Bombyx mori: one gene and its partners. The protein of the gene in region 1 interacts with the protein of each later gene in a biochemical or structural test. Links are inferred from orthologs where the notes say so. Each region holds a gene or a part of one and is shown in the gene's direction. Other genes may lie near its edges.

Region 1 (3,837 bases):
TGATTCTATTTTATCTATGTATGTTTTAAATGTTAATCCATAGCAATCAAGAGCGTAACTTATTATGGAATCCACTAGTGCAAAATATAAACATTTTAGTATTGGCAATGGAACTTTAATACTTAAATAATAAAACTTTTCTAGTAATATTCTTAATTTTCCACATAAGTATTCTATGTGGGAATCCCAGGAAAAAGAGGTATCTATTTTTACTCCTAGGTATTTTACACAATTAACTTTTTCGATAGGATTACACGTGCAGTTAATTTTCTTATTGTGGAAGCAATCAAAGCTGTGGGCAATCAGAGGAGGCGGATTATCAATAGAACGTAAATACGGGGAGTGAATAATTATCATCTTTGTTTTGTCAGCGTTTAATATAATGCCGTTATCATGTGACCATTTAACTACCGCATCCACATCCTCTTGAACCCGGCGACACATTTCCGCGAGGTCGGTACTAGCGCTCAGAGTACAAAGGTCATCGGCAAACATGTGGGCGGAGCAGTGACGTAATACTCCACAGAGGCTATTTACGTGCATCAGGTAACACACGTTGGGAAACTGTATTAGAGAATAGGCCTCAGCGGTCAAAAATGGATTGGCTGTGCACTGGAGTCGCTTACGATTTATTATGACCTATGGTGACCATGGATGAGCCGATGCCAATGTAGCTTAGTGACAACCAACTAAAAATTAGTTATGAATCTTTTAATTTCGCGGTAAACAGAGATATTAATAAGCGTATAGTGACGTTAGAATTCTCATGTTCCTCATAAAATGAAATTCTTAGTCGCCCCTACCCTATTCTCCTAAACACGTAGCGTCGCCCTAATATATGGAACTTAAACACTAGGGTTGTCACTATATCACTATATATATAGTCATCTATATATATATCATCGGGCAAATTGTACGTATTAATACGCTTTTATTAGCTTCAGACGTATGTATGTTTGTAACGGAATCTTTGAACATGATTTTGACCCCCTTCAAAACGTCGGATTAACTCGAAATTTGGTATACTTATGAGAGACCTCGACAATTTAATATTTAAAAAATAATGAAAAAAATAATAATAGAAAAAATGAAAAATAAATAAGTTTACAATTAAAAAAAAATTTAAACTATTTTTAATTCAAATATATTAAAATTTATTTTCTACTTTTTATTTGAATTTTCTATAAAAGCGTGTTTTGTTAGTTTTTTTAAACTATATTTTTTTTGTTTTGTTTGTGCAGCGAATGCGGGGTGACGGAAGAGGCGGTGAGAAGGTACTTGGCGAGGAAGCCGATGACCACGACTGAGCTGCTCACCAAGTTCAAATCGAAACGCACCGGAGTCAGCAGCGAGCGCTTGGTCGAAACCATGACGCAGATACTGAAGAGGATCAACCCTTTGAAGCAGAACATCAACGGGAAAATGTACCTCAGCATTAAATGATCCCGCAATATATACATATATATATCGAGAGGCGAAAGGCTATTTAGTTGAATCCTTAGACTGCCGTGTAGGTCACCGGTGCCCTACGCGGCGCACTGAAGTAATTACGTGGTAGCACCTCTTGCGAATTTACACGGGTAGGTACCACCACCCGGCCTATTTCTGCCGTGAAGCAGTAATGTGGGCTGTGAGCTCGTCCACCCATATAAGAAAAAAAACAAGGGTTTCTGTTACTAAGCGGCTGGATTACCTAACTTTGCCTTGTTTTTTAATCTGTTTCTTAGTATCTTCGGATTCGTCTTCCCTAAAGTCTACTAGGTATTCCGGCGCTTTAGTAAGAAGATCGAAGACAGAAATCGACATAATTACTTTCGTGCGTCGCGTAGAGCGCCGGTGACCTACGCGGTAGTAGACGTGTTAAGCGACATTTCGTTTAATACACGACATTTACCTTTGTAATTAAAGGTCCGTTTTATTTGGTATTAGCATCAACAGTTCAATGTTTTTAATTAAACTTCAATTAAGTTTAATCCATTGAAATAGCCGAAGAAGTTTTTTTGTTATGATATTTTTTTTTCAAATTTAAAACTTTAAATGGTTCTCCTGTAAATTTCCAAAAATGTCTTTTAAACCAAATAAGCCTTTCACCCCTCGATTTGTTTTGTGAATACACGTTCTTGATTTTACGTAGGCATTTTTTAAATAAATAAAAGATGTAATTAACGTATTGATTGTTTTATTGAAAACATCGTAAATACTGTTGTTACGTACAGGAGGTTTTTGTTTGAGGCGATCGTGTAATTTTTGAAGTGAAAACTTCTTTAGAATCGTTGTGATTTCAAACCGGATGCAACGGAAAAAACGACAGGTAAGAGACACAAATACAAAAATGTGTAGGATGAAGCCAGCAAAGAATGAGACAGAAATATACATACTATTTAATACAGCGCCATCTGTGAGATTTTTTAATACTAACGTGTGTATGAAAGCTCTTGTAGTGAATTTAAATTTAGGATTATACGTGAAATTAAAATATCAATTCACAGAGGGCGCTACCTTACAATTATTTACTAATGACAAAATTTTACATATACTGAAGACGTTTAAGATAATTCTATTTTAATTTTGGAAGGTTTCACTTCTGCCACGTGTGAATTGCACACATCTTTTTTTTTTAATATATGTTTTTCTAAATAGGCAAATGAGCTCTCGGCTCAGTCATCATAAAGTAAATGAAACACACACACTGCCACAATAACAAATCTCACTCTGTTATAAGTGTTATAACACAAGAAGAAATCTTACTGTATGTTGAATATATGCTTGTTTATACAGGGTGTGTTAGAATCGTTTCTAAAAACAAACAGCGAAACCACAATGAAAAATATTTGATGATTTGCGTTTCCTTAGGTGATTTGGACTGCACGCAATGTAATATTTATTTATTAAGTTAACAAGATAAGATACAATAATAAATAAATCAATAAATATTTAATAACAATCACGCCACGTTAACTGGTCCCGTGCTAAGTTCGTAAAGAACTTGTGTTAATAACAAAGTTACGGCTGAAGATTTTTGAAGGCTCGGAAGGAAGGATTTTTATAATGAAGCTGTGATACATGTTCAGTTGTATCACACTTTTAGGGGAAATAAAACTATTTTTGTTTACATCTTTATTCAACAGATCTTCTTAAATGTGATAAGTCTTCTAATTCTTCATCATTTGCTGGTTTCCTGTGCAGAAAAGATATGAAATCAACACATTTTCTAAAGGCATCGTCTAACTAGACTTTATGAGTGCGATACCTTTCGTTAATATGTAAAAGTCTGCATTACTAAATACTTATTTCTATGATTAAATCTTTCGCTAATGTTTGATATGTTTTAGTTTTTCTGTACCTCTGATAGCGATATGCGATAGCCGATAATACTCGATTGATTAATTAAATTGGTAGGACCTTTTGTGAGTCCGCACGGGTAGGTACCATCGCCCTGCCTATTTCCGCCGTGAAGTAGTAATGCATTTCGGTATGAAGGGTGGGGCAGCCGCTGTAACTATACTGAGACCTTAGAACTTATATCTCAAGGTGGGTGACGCATTTACGTTGTAGATGTCTATAGTCGCCAGTAACCACTTAACACCAGGTGGGCAGTGAGCTCGTCCACCCCTCTAAGCAATAAAAAAAAAAAAAATTCTTATAAAAACGTAATTATTATACTAGAATACCAAGGCTATTCTTACTATACTCGGTCGGAGTTTTTATTTAAATAGCCCTGAATGCTACGTATCTTGAACTCTGATCCGAATTCCGTGCCACAGAACCCAGGCCCAGTGCGTTTAGTGCGAGTTTTTTAACGTTCTCGATAGCGTAAAAGTTAAGTCAAATTTGTAT
Region 2 (5,936 bases), on another chromosome or scaffold:
GTCTGTTAATATCCTAAATAAAAAAATAAAAATAACAATGCGTCTACTATTCACTGTCAAAGTTTACAATGAAAAATTCACCAGATCACAAAATGATTAGTTTTTGTTATTAAGTTTTTTTTTTAATACCTCTTCGAACTGATAAAATGAACAAATTTTATTTCAACGACTTCATTTGGCAATGCGTTTCAGTAACACGTTTCATAAGAGTGAAATTGATAATAGCCCGCCAGATGGCAATGCCAGGCCGACAACGGCTGTCAAGGTTGCAACCGTTCCATGCAACTCCTTAAGAGGTCAAGCTTCAGGTGCATGCAATAAAGAGCGTTCTAACTTTCAATTTATTTAAATGTAATTTTTTTTGCGTGCCTTTAATTAAAATTTTTGGCAAGCCTGCCGCAGCCTACTGTAGCAACTACATTAAATATTATTAAATATTCCAATTGTCTTTTATAACGATCACGTTTTTAAATTGCCGCCTGCAAAAATGTATATTATTGTGTAGTGTTTTTTTTTGGTAATTTGGAAATTTCATTTTGTGTTGAAAAGTCAATTTTTGTAGTAAGGTAGCTTTTCACCTCGCGAGGTCATCGCTTTTTTAGGGGTAGTTAGGGGTATTTAAGGGGTAACGACTTTTCCAATTTCACTAGGACAGGTGGACTCAGCCAGGAGGAATGGGATTTGCTAACGGCTGCCCAAGTGGCTCTAGAAGAGACCTAACAGATCAAGAGTAGCTGCTTCGCAATGCATCTACCACCGGATCGGAAGCTCACCCGGTAAGAAAAAACTGAGCAAGGTCAGGTGTATACTAGGTTAAGTTGCACGTCGAGCTCTTTGCCGAGTTCTACAGCTATTTGGTACAACTTTAACCTTTACCCTTTACATTTTACAACTTGACGAGTGAAATTTCTAAAAAAAAAAAACTTAGTACAAAGCTTAGAATACAAAATTGTGTCAATTTTTTAAGTTTGCAACCACAGCGGCTTAAGTGCACATGAATCAGTCAGTCAGGACAAGCAAAATAATATTTATGGATAAAAAATGTTGCCTTCACTTTTGCAATTTATTCCTACCCATCCCTAATTAGGGGTAAAGTATTTATAATGAAAGCATGCACGGGACCATCCTACTCGTTTGTGCTGCCAATTATTAGTGTAATTTGGTATCTGGTAAATAAGATAGTATTACAATATTATTGGATCGGGCACAAGTACGCTCATCGGCGGTGCATGTCCAGAGATCTTTTTTGGCACGTATCTTCTGACTGCGAAATGAACTCTCCTTCACCGTGCTTCACGAGCCCCATGACTTCATTCTTCAAACTAGCCTTATGGAGAGTACTTACCGGTAAGCATCGACTTGGTTGTGGTTCTGACATTGCTGATGTCCATGAGCGACGTCAATAACTGACCACCAGGTGGCCTTATGCTCGTCCGTCTGCAAAAGCCATAAAAAATGCAAAGTTTATAGGTAATGAAAACTCTGATTCCGGTGGAGAGTAATATAGCGACATCTATCGGCCATGCCGTGAAAACCGGAGGCTTTTCTGATTGTTGTGTGAGCACCGGTATTTCCGGTATTGTTTAATGAGTGTATTGTTATAAAATTATGTATACATTTGGAAAAGTGCATAAATGTTGAGAAATGAATTAAAATAGCCAAACATAGTTCCTCGAGTTTTTTCAAAAAGTTCACATAAGTCTCAGTAAATTCCTTTTACTGGAACCTTTTTATTTTTCATTTTATATCGATTCATTTCATTTAATTTTATTCAGTTTTATCCAGGCTGATGATACAATTCCAGAGAATTCAAATTCATTTCATTCCGCCCCATTTCATTTTTTATTTAGGTACCAAAATTTAAATTTTAATATAAAAATTACTTTGTGCATGTATGTATGTATTTATTAATCATTTATGATTATTATACATTGACATAAGCTCGACGCTGGGTTCATAAGGGGGATCCCATCATTGGGATCGCAAGAGGATAATGATTGATTGCCATACTGAAAAAAAGATAAGAAGTCAGGTAGTTAAAAAACCGAGATAGGGAATTTAAATTACTTCGTATTTGCATAATTATTTCTAAAGAAGATAGAAATTTAATAAGATGTAATTAAAAAAATTATATCTAAGAGCGCTCCGCGCTATCGCTATCGCGATTTATAACACCTAGACAGAAATGAAGTTTCTGTGTAAGCCCGAAAGTATTTTAAAATATTTGTGATATTAGGGGAAACGATAGTCCAAACAGCTTTCTTAGAAGAAATTATTTCATATGGGGTCCCACATGAAATAATTTGATACTTGAGAACTCCGGCCCATGGAGCCTTGCTCCACGCGAGACTGATCATATTAATTACAGAACTATATAATATCATGGACCTGTCTTTGATCATGCGTAATCTACTATTTCATACTGTTGAATATCCCTTGCATTTGAGAAACCAAGTTGGCATGGCAGCACTACTAGCAGTTAAACTAATAATTTCCTACATTAAATTTAGAACAACCACATTATTATCAAAGTAATTCACTAATAAAGTACGATACTTGGGGAAAAACTAGACACAAGCGCTGCTTCACTTTAATAATGTTTACTCATTTTTGTGCATGATTTAATACCCTTTACTATGTCACATGCCTGTCAAGATCAAAGAATAAAACAAAACTGTGTTTATGGTATTCAAATTGACAACGACATTAAAAAAATATTTGGAGTATTGTCTATGTTTTCTGACCACCATGGCGAGTACATCGAGGTCTGTTTTTCTGTGTTATTTTATTTATATTAGCTTTAAACCGAGACTTAGTTCATTTATACAAAGCCGATAAGCAATACGATAGATATTCGTGATGAGTAAGTTGGTGATAGTACTTAAGTGGTGTTTAAAATCGCGTTAAAATAGCATACGATTTCTACTTGTTAGATTGTGAACCTACTTTTGTTTGTGTTTTTAGAATTGAGGCGAATAAAGTGGTTTGCTATGCTCACCCTGATGCGCCCCTTATCGAGGATTACAGAGCGGGTGATATGATATGTTCTGAATGCGGTTTGGTGGTCGGAGACAGGTAAGTTAGTACCTTTATTTGCGAAACAAAACGTTGGAACGCGCGCGCTATTCTACTGTCATGTCGTAACAACAACTTCAATAGCGACGCATTTGATTTCTATATTTCGAGGTCGGTATATAATCAATTTGTACTGTGAATATCATTCACATTAATGTTACGGGAATTCTTTAAGAATATTATGAAGTTCACGGAGGCTAAGTGAACTTTCTGAAGTAACAGTGAACAGAATATTTAATACACAAAACGCATTTTTCGTGCTTTGAAAAATTTTGGAGTTGATACATAAAAATGACAAAAGAAACATTCTAAATTGCTACATTCTTAGTAAAAAAATTCTTACCTTGCAGAGTCATAGACGTCGGTTCGGAGTGGCGTACTTTTAGCAATGAGAAGTCTGGAGTAGATCCGTCTCGTGTTGGTGGTCCTGAAAACCCACTTTTATCTGGAGGTGATTTGTCAACTATCATTGGGCCAGGACGAGGAGATGCATCATTTGACAGCTTTGGAGTTTCCAAATATCAAAATAGAAGAAACATAAGCAGCACAGATAGAGCCTTAATCAATGCATTCCGAGAAATCAACACAATGGCGGATAGAATTAATCTTCCAAAAACTATTGTGGACAGAGCAAACAATCTTTTTAAACAGGTAAATTTAGTACTCTAGTATCCAAACATCTAAATATGTTACTCTTTTGTGCCATAAAATAGTATTATCCCATCTTTCCCATAGCTATCCTAAATCAACCAAGAGATTCAGCATTCTGTCGATATGGCATCATATTGAGATTGCCAACAGAAAAACTTGTTATTTTTTATGAATTGATCGTTTATTTTATTATTTTTATTATTTATTTATGTTATGTACTGATTCTTGCATATTAATGTATATTGGCTAAGTTAACATTTAAGTCGTTCTCTGTTGGTTGATGCAGAAAAGAAAGTATGTGCATTGATTGTTATACTATATTTACTATGTATAAACTAAGTATGTTTATTAGACAAACCTAGGATTACATAACAATATCTATATTTTAATACATACATACATAGAGTATTATAATACATAAATATGAAAATGTTTCACATCTCATTTGAGATTAAGCACTTTTGTATGTGTTCTCTCTTTTAAGCTGGTGAATTCAAATGAATAGCACCTCAAATTCTAAAGGTTTTTTTTTATTTTTCAATACAATACCTATTTGGAAGCAGAAATGTTCAAGACAATTCAATAGTCACACTAAAATTTGAAAGGATAACAAAAAAAAAACCTCTAATAAAAGTAGAATTTAATTTTCTTAGGTAAAATTCCTACTAGGTTGAATTTTAAAAATTAGATTTTTCATTGCATTGCATTCCATCATATTGCAGGTTCACGACGGTAAAAACTTGAAGGGTCGTGCCAATGATGCTATAGCTTCAGCTTGCCTCTACATTGCTTGTCGTCAAGAAGGTGTGCCACGTACATTTAAAGAGATCTGTGCCGTCAGCAAGATAAGTAAAAAAGAAATAGGAAGGTGTTTCAAATTGATTCTGAAAGCACTGGAGACTTCAGTTGATCTCATTACAACAGCAGATTTTATGTCTCGGTTTTGCTCGAATTTGGGTCTGCCAAATTCAGTGCAACGCGCAGCTACACATATCGCAAGGAAAGCTGGAGAGCTGGACATAGTGTCTGGAAGAAGTCCTATTTCAGTTGCTGCAGCTGCCATTTATATGGCTTCACAGGTATATTAATAAATTTATTACTATTCTACTATAACCTATTCTTCATCATTGTAGGCTTAAGGAATTAATGACAATAATGAAATATTTAATTCAATTTGTAATTGACATTTTAATATCCTCAATATTGAAAACATGATTGCTTCATGTCATAAATGGGCAGGATTCCTACTGTAAATATGCAAATTGACACAATTTTGTGTATTTGATTTTTATCAAGCATTGTACATCCCCTTTATTGTGGAAGTCACTCGTGACCACATGTTTATATAGATATTATATACATTTTATTACTATTTCAGGCATCAGAAGACAAACGCAGTCAGAAAGAGATCGGCGATATTGCTGGTGTTGCGGACGTTACGATCCGACAGTCTTACAAATTGATGTATCCATCCGCAGCAAGACTGTTCCCTGAAGATTTCAAATTCGCAACTCCTATTGAATTCCTACCACAGATGTAGACTACATGTTTTTGTACTATTAGAATTGCTTTAAAATGTATGTGAGCAGTCTGAAAAATCTTGTAAGTTTTCTTAATGTTATAGTTTGTTAATATGTCCTAACTGGATGACTCTTCTTGAGAAGAATTCTCATAAAGATATGCCCCCTTAAATAAGTATGTTATTCACATATTTTATACTGATCAGTTAGATCACTAATGATACTGTCATAATATGAATAATAATATGTCATACTCATCCTTGTCTACCTTCTTAATGAGGTAATTCAGTGTATTGATTACAGGAGTATATATACCGATAATGAGTGATACAAATACTATTCCAACATTGGCTGCAGAACTGCAAAGATATTTTCTAGAATTCGAGCTAATAAGAATTAATTAAATAACATTGGTGCTTTTGTACATTACAATATTTAGTTAGCAATGTCCTGACTACTGCGTTTTTACATAACTATTGATTAATTTTAAAAAGTGATATATAACTCAACTCACCATGCACTTTTGCAGCCCCCTTCATATTAGAAAACTATTATTTCTTCAATAAAATATAAGTAGTTTTTGTTTATTCTAAGGACTCAAACTCATATAGAGGGCTGAACGGCTATTTGTTTTAAGGGACATTTCGCTTAATACCCGACATTTACCTATGTAATTAAAGATCCGTTTTA
Region 3 (5,627 bases), on another chromosome or scaffold:
TAGCTATGGTAAAAAAGGTAAGATTGTTTATCTTTACAGACCCTCTAAGACAACTCGTAAACTTGAAGGTACTAATTAGATGCTATTCTTGAGGCAGTAACAAATCGAAAGAGTGTCGTGAATTAATATATATTTATAACTTTATATACTTATAAAGGCGGACTTAAAGCCATAGGCATTCTCTGACAACCTACCTTAGGAGGGTGCAGAGATGAACCTTGTTAGGTGTAGTGTGATAGTGATATAACTTAAACATAGTAATATATGTATATATAACATACATAATATTTATAGATACAAATACTCGTACTTCAATAAATACATATACATAATAAATATTATCAAAGTCTAATCTAATATTTTCTCTAATACTAATCTAATAACTAATCTCTAATTAATAATATAATACGCCAAAGTTATTCAAATATATTTACAGTAAATTTAAATGGGCGTATAACTAGTGTTCGTATTAGTCCATATAGTTTTATCAGCGGCACACGCAGTGATAGAAAGAATTTATAAAACTTTTTTAAGAAATCACTTTTTGTCGGCCTACTTTAGTAATTCTGTCACGAAGCGCCTAGGTATTAAACTCAATTAAACTCAATTAATGTTTAGTTTATTCAAATTTTAGTATAATATTGCGTTATTTACCTCGAAGCGTCTTTTACTATTGTTGTGAATGTGTAACTTTTTGTAACAAAAACAAAAATCAATTCCGATGACACATTGACGTTTCTCTTTATTCGTTTTCATGTCAACGTTTAAGGGTCATTGACATCAAAACCTATAAACTCACAGTTTACCAATTTTAGATGTCTTACAAGCAATACTTTCGTTTTAGTCGATTTTTTGTATTTTCATTTATTTTAGAAACACTGTAAATTAATTAATTTGTTTTAACAGAAATTGTGGTAACCTGAATAACATTCAAAGAAAAGCAGTACATACCATCTTAATAAAGTTATTTAAAACCATGGATGTTTACTTTATTGTTAAATTAACTTTTTCGTTACAACTTCAGCCAAGTTAAATTGAGTAGATCAATAGGTAGTGTTTTAGTCCAAAATATATGTAATAACCGCTGCCTATTTTACCGTTTAACGCTATGCGAAACCTCATAAATATTTGAAATAGTCACTGGGTATGACTTTTCAAGTTCTTACAAAATTTTCTTTTTCCACTAAATTACGAAGTTTTAATGTGTGTTTCATTTCTAGCCATCCGACAATTGACCAAATCTTCAATGCTGTGGGTCGTGACCTCTATGGGATTTCAGAATCTCTCCGGTGGATTATCTTACGCCATACGTCGATATATTCTCGACGCTATAGATGACCTCAAATACGATAGTGTATTTGCGGTACGGATTTGGTCTGACCAGCGCAGGGGGACCTGCCCATCAACAACATCTAATTTCATTTAATTCCAATCCTCAATTAACTCTACTTCACTTTTTAAGCAACAGATATGGCGGGCATTGGCCTTTGGTACAAAACATTTTGATTTGGGCTCTTTTCTTTGCGTATTCAATAAATAAAAAATAAAAATTGATATTGACAGTTGACGTTTTAATTAGTGTCACAGTCTTCAGTCAGTGTTGCATTTCACTTCTTCCTATTGTGATTTTGCTGATAGGGTATCAATAAATTTCGCCGTTTCCAAGTGAAAACATAATTAATGTGAAATTTTTTAAAAGCTTTGTCTACACTACAATTAAAAATATCATATTCATACTAAAAGTTCGTTGAAAACCGCCAAAATTACGTCCAAAATGCAAAGCGTAAGTGCTCCGCGGGAGCCCACGCAACCAGTTTTAAGCACAACTTCAACTATATTAAACATGAGGGAAAAGGAGAAATACATAGAGGAATTCGACTTTCCCTTCTGCGACGAGTCTTCCAAATACGAAAAAGTAGCTAAAATCGGACAAGGAACATTCGGTGAAGTGTTCAAAGCGCGCGCGAGAAACAGTAGCAAAAAGTTTGTTGCCATGAAAAAAGTCTTAATGGACAATGAAAAAGAGGGTTTCCCGATCACGGCCCTGCGGGAAATAAAGATCTTGCAGCTCTTAAAACACGAAAACGTTGTAAACTTGATAGAAATATGCCGCACGAAGGCTACGGTTCACAATAAATACCGTTCCACTTTCTATTTGGTGTTCGACTTCTGCGAACACGATCTAGCTGGCCTGCTATCGAACGTGAATGTTAAGTTCAGTCTCGGCGAAATAAAAAAAGTCATGCAACAATTACTGAACGGACTTTATTACATACACAGCAACAAAATACTCCACAGAGACATGAAGGCTGCCAATGTACTAATAACAAAGAATGGAACATTAAAACTGGCTGACTTTGGACTTGCTCGAGCATTCAGCGTCGCAAAGTCTGGACAAGCCAATAAATATACTAATCGTGTTGTTACTTTGTGGTATAGGCCTCCAGAATTGCTGTTAGGTGAGTTTTTAAAACATATTATTTATTAATGAACAGTGTTTTTTTATGTAAACCATAATTTCTGGTAATAAGACAAATTGAGCTTGGATGAGTGGGCACCATTATTCTACTAACTCCTGTTGCTAAGTAGTAAGGCCTTGAAGTAAGCTCCCCTCCATGATGTTTCCCGAGAGCCTGTCTGTCGTCATGTCTTTCTTCAAACGAGGCTTGTGGAGAGTACTTCACGGTAGGCAACGGCTTGGCTTTGCTCCTAGTATTGCTGACGTTCATAAGCTACAACCACTCACCATCAGATGAGCCTTCTGCTCATCTGCCTACAAGAACATTTTTTTTTTTATCTAAAGCATCGAAGCAGTCATACATTTTAGTTTAAAGGAGACAAGTGTTATGTTATCTTTCATAGTGGGAGTGATTTTGAATAACTTATAACTAACATTTAATAACATGTAATAGTGAGTTGTCTTTGTCTGCTCATTTAGAAAAATATATGAAAAATGAGCTGTGGTGTGTTGTATCAGCTTTAACATGCCTTATTTAATTAAAGGTGACCGTAACTACGGTCCACCAGTGGACATGTGGGGAGCCGGATGTATCATGGCTGAAATGTGGACTCGCTCCCCGATCATGCAGGTTTGAAACTTTTCAAAGATACCGACCTGATTAAAACTACTTTTACAGTTTAATCTAGTTTTTTTTGCAAATCTAGTCAAAGGAAATAGATGCAGGGCCCTTGCTTAAAAATGCAGTAATAAGTTTTTGTGTTATCTAGTCAAAAATCACTGCTCTTGTAATGGGAAAGCATAAAATACCAAACCCTCTATTGAGTTTATTCAATAATAAACTTGCAATTTTATAATGATCACAAATTATATGCCATAAACCCCAAATTTAATGGAGTATTATTGGATAGACTTATTGGTTCAATGATGTTCATAGATAAAGGTTTACAATGAGTCACAAAATCTACGAATTATTTCTTTTCAAATTGATAAATTTTATTGTAATTGTATATTCTGTAGATATTTATGTTATTATTTTTAGAATATGTATAGAATAGTTTTAGAAATGACAGACTAAGAGGCTGAGGCTCCAGAAAGACAGACGATACACCACAGATCAGCAGTTAAAAAAAAAATTCTTGTCTACCATGGATCTTTGATTAGAAATGTAATATTTCAGGGTCCGACAGAACAGCAGCAGCTGATATTAATATCGCAGCTGTGCGGTTCCTGTACACCTGATGTCTGGCCCGGAGTGGAGAACTTGGATCTTTACAACAAAATGGAGTTGCCAAAGGGTCAAAAGAGGAAAGTCAAGGTGAATATGGAATTTAATCATTGAGATTTTTATATCTATTGGCTTAGTAAGACTGTTTGGTCAGAATCAGGGTACCTATGTACTCAATTGCAGTGTGGAAATAAGACATAATCATTTTTGAAAAAAAAAAAAGTTTTTTTTTTATCTTTGGCCGATAACACACATTCCAAGATGATATTTAAGGTCAAGGCTCAACACACTGCCTCATAAGTCAACATTTCATAGTTCATTACATATTTTCTTACAAAAACAATAAGTATTTTTGCCTACTGTCAACTAGTTATTTTATTTCTGTATCACCGTAGCCACCAAAAGCATTGTCAGCCATTATATAATTGTTATATCGGAATATAGGAGCAAAGAAACGAACATACATAATAACAGCCGGTTTATTATTGCACTGCACACTGCATAACACACACTGCAATAATACTATTGAGACTCAGATCTCATATCTCATGATGGGCGTCGAGAACATTTTGATGTTTGGTCCAGTGGGCATTTAACAATATGTGTACTTATTTTCCCATCTATGCCGCTCTCTCTTCACTGCATACTGTATATATTCATTCCAGCATCTCTTATATACTAATTAAGATTTGTATATAAACACAGGAAAGACTGAAACCATATGTGAAGGATCCCTACGGCTGTGACTTATTGGACAAACTGCTGCAGTTAGATCCTGCCAAGCGGTATGTATAATAGTTTACTTCCAGCTTACAATTTCTACAAGGAATTTATTCTATTAATGTTAATTGTTGATAGACAAGAAACTGGTTTTACCGGTGAAAGGACCTCTTGTGAGTCCGCACGGGTAGGTACCACCATCCTGCCTATTTCTGTCGTGAAGCAGTAATGCGTTTTGGTTTGAAGGGTGGGACAGCCGTTGTAACTATACTGAGACCTTAGAACTTATATCTTAAGGTGGGTGGTGCATTTACGTTGTAGATGTCTATTGGCTCCAGTAAGCACTTAAGACCAGGTGGGCTGTGAGTTCGTTCAGCCGTCTAAGTAATAAAAAAACAAAACAAAAATGGGATGGTATATTCGCTTGTATCAAATGATTCCGCATATTAACTCAATCTATTCTATATCTATATATATAAATGAATTGCTGTTCGTTAGTCTCGCTAAAACTCGAGAACGGCTTGACCGATTTGGCTAATTTTGGTCTTGAATTATTCGTGGAAGTCCAGAGAAGGTTTAAAAGGTAAATAAATATGAAAATGCTCGGAATTAAATAAAAATAACAAATTTGTTTTTTTCTTTGATGCGTCCCCCGTCGGACGGATTCATTTTGTTTAAGTTTATTTTATACAAAAGTTTAGGTCTTTTAATTATAGATTGAGGCACTACAAAGTCTGCCGGGTCAGCTAGTTTTTAATATTAATCATCTTTGCAAAAATTTTTTTTTCCGTTCACGTTATCTGTCTTTACATTAAGATAAAATTATGTATTAATTTTGTTAATAGTAATCAAAATATAGGTAAACTAAAAAAAAAAAACGACTACCCTCTTTTGAGAAAAATGCTGGTGATACTAAATGTTTACGTATATTAACTCAATTTCGAATATTTTAGGAAATTGTGCACTTTTAATGCGAAGACGGTATATACCTTGTCAGGTCATAAGTATTGTCACACAGTAAAAACTTTTCTTTTAGAATGCTGGCCACAAAAAAGTTTATTGAATTCGAATTTCGAATTGTTCATGAAAATAAAAATGTATACTTTTAGAATTTTACTCATTGTTAAATATGGAGTGGACGCCTAAAGAAGACCGTGTTGCAGTTATTGCGTTGCATCGTTGCGGTTACGCGCCAATTCAAATTTTTAACATACTGAAAAA

What was found.
Region 2: the proteins of general transcription factor IIF subunit 1 (region 1) and transcription initiation factor IIB form a complex in vitro, tested with the Homo sapiens proteins (3 studies listed by BioGRID and IntAct). The link is inferred for Bombyx mori from reciprocal best matches to the Homo sapiens genes GTF2F1 and GTF2B.
Region 3: the proteins of general transcription factor IIF subunit 1 (region 1) and Cdk9 form a complex in vitro, tested with the Homo sapiens proteins (2 studies listed by BioGRID, with this or other methods). The link is inferred for Bombyx mori from reciprocal best matches to the Homo sapiens genes GTF2F1 and CDK9.

What each region holds. Positions count from the first base shown.
Region 1 is NC_085121.1:15,702,331-15,706,167, reverse strand, and holds the end of general transcription factor IIF subunit 1, read left to right. Parts: intron 1-1,241; coding exon 1,242-1,443; 3' UTR 1,444-2,170; downstream 2,171-3,837. Other genes in the region: solute carrier family 22 member 3, read right to left, coding at 3,118-3,178. UniProt on the Homo sapiens protein: TFIIF is a general transcription initiation factor that binds to RNA polymerase II and helps to recruit it to the initiation complex in collaboration with TFIIB. It promotes transcription elongation.
Region 2 is NC_085110.1:3,772,758-3,778,693, reverse strand, and holds the start of transcription initiation factor IIB, read left to right. Parts: upstream 1-2,606; 5' UTR 2,607-2,682; coding exon 2,683-2,765; intron 2,766-2,964; coding exon 2,965-3,075; intron 3,076-3,425; coding exon 3,426-3,726; intron 3,727-4,448; coding exon 4,449-4,805; intron 4,806-5,104; coding exon 5,105-5,266; 3' UTR 5,267-5,936. UniProt on the Homo sapiens protein: General transcription factor that plays a role in transcription initiation by RNA polymerase II (Pol II). Involved in the pre-initiation complex (PIC) formation and Pol II recruitment at promoter DNA.
Region 3 is NC_085130.1:9,750,603-9,756,229, forward strand, and holds the start of Cdk9 (cyclin dependent kinase 9), read left to right. Parts: upstream 1-1,774; coding exon 1,775-2,459; intron 2,460-3,003; coding exon 3,004-3,089; intron 3,090-3,638; coding exon 3,639-3,776; intron 3,777-4,391; coding exon 4,392-4,471; intron 4,472-5,627. UniProt on the Homo sapiens protein: Protein kinase involved in the regulation of transcription.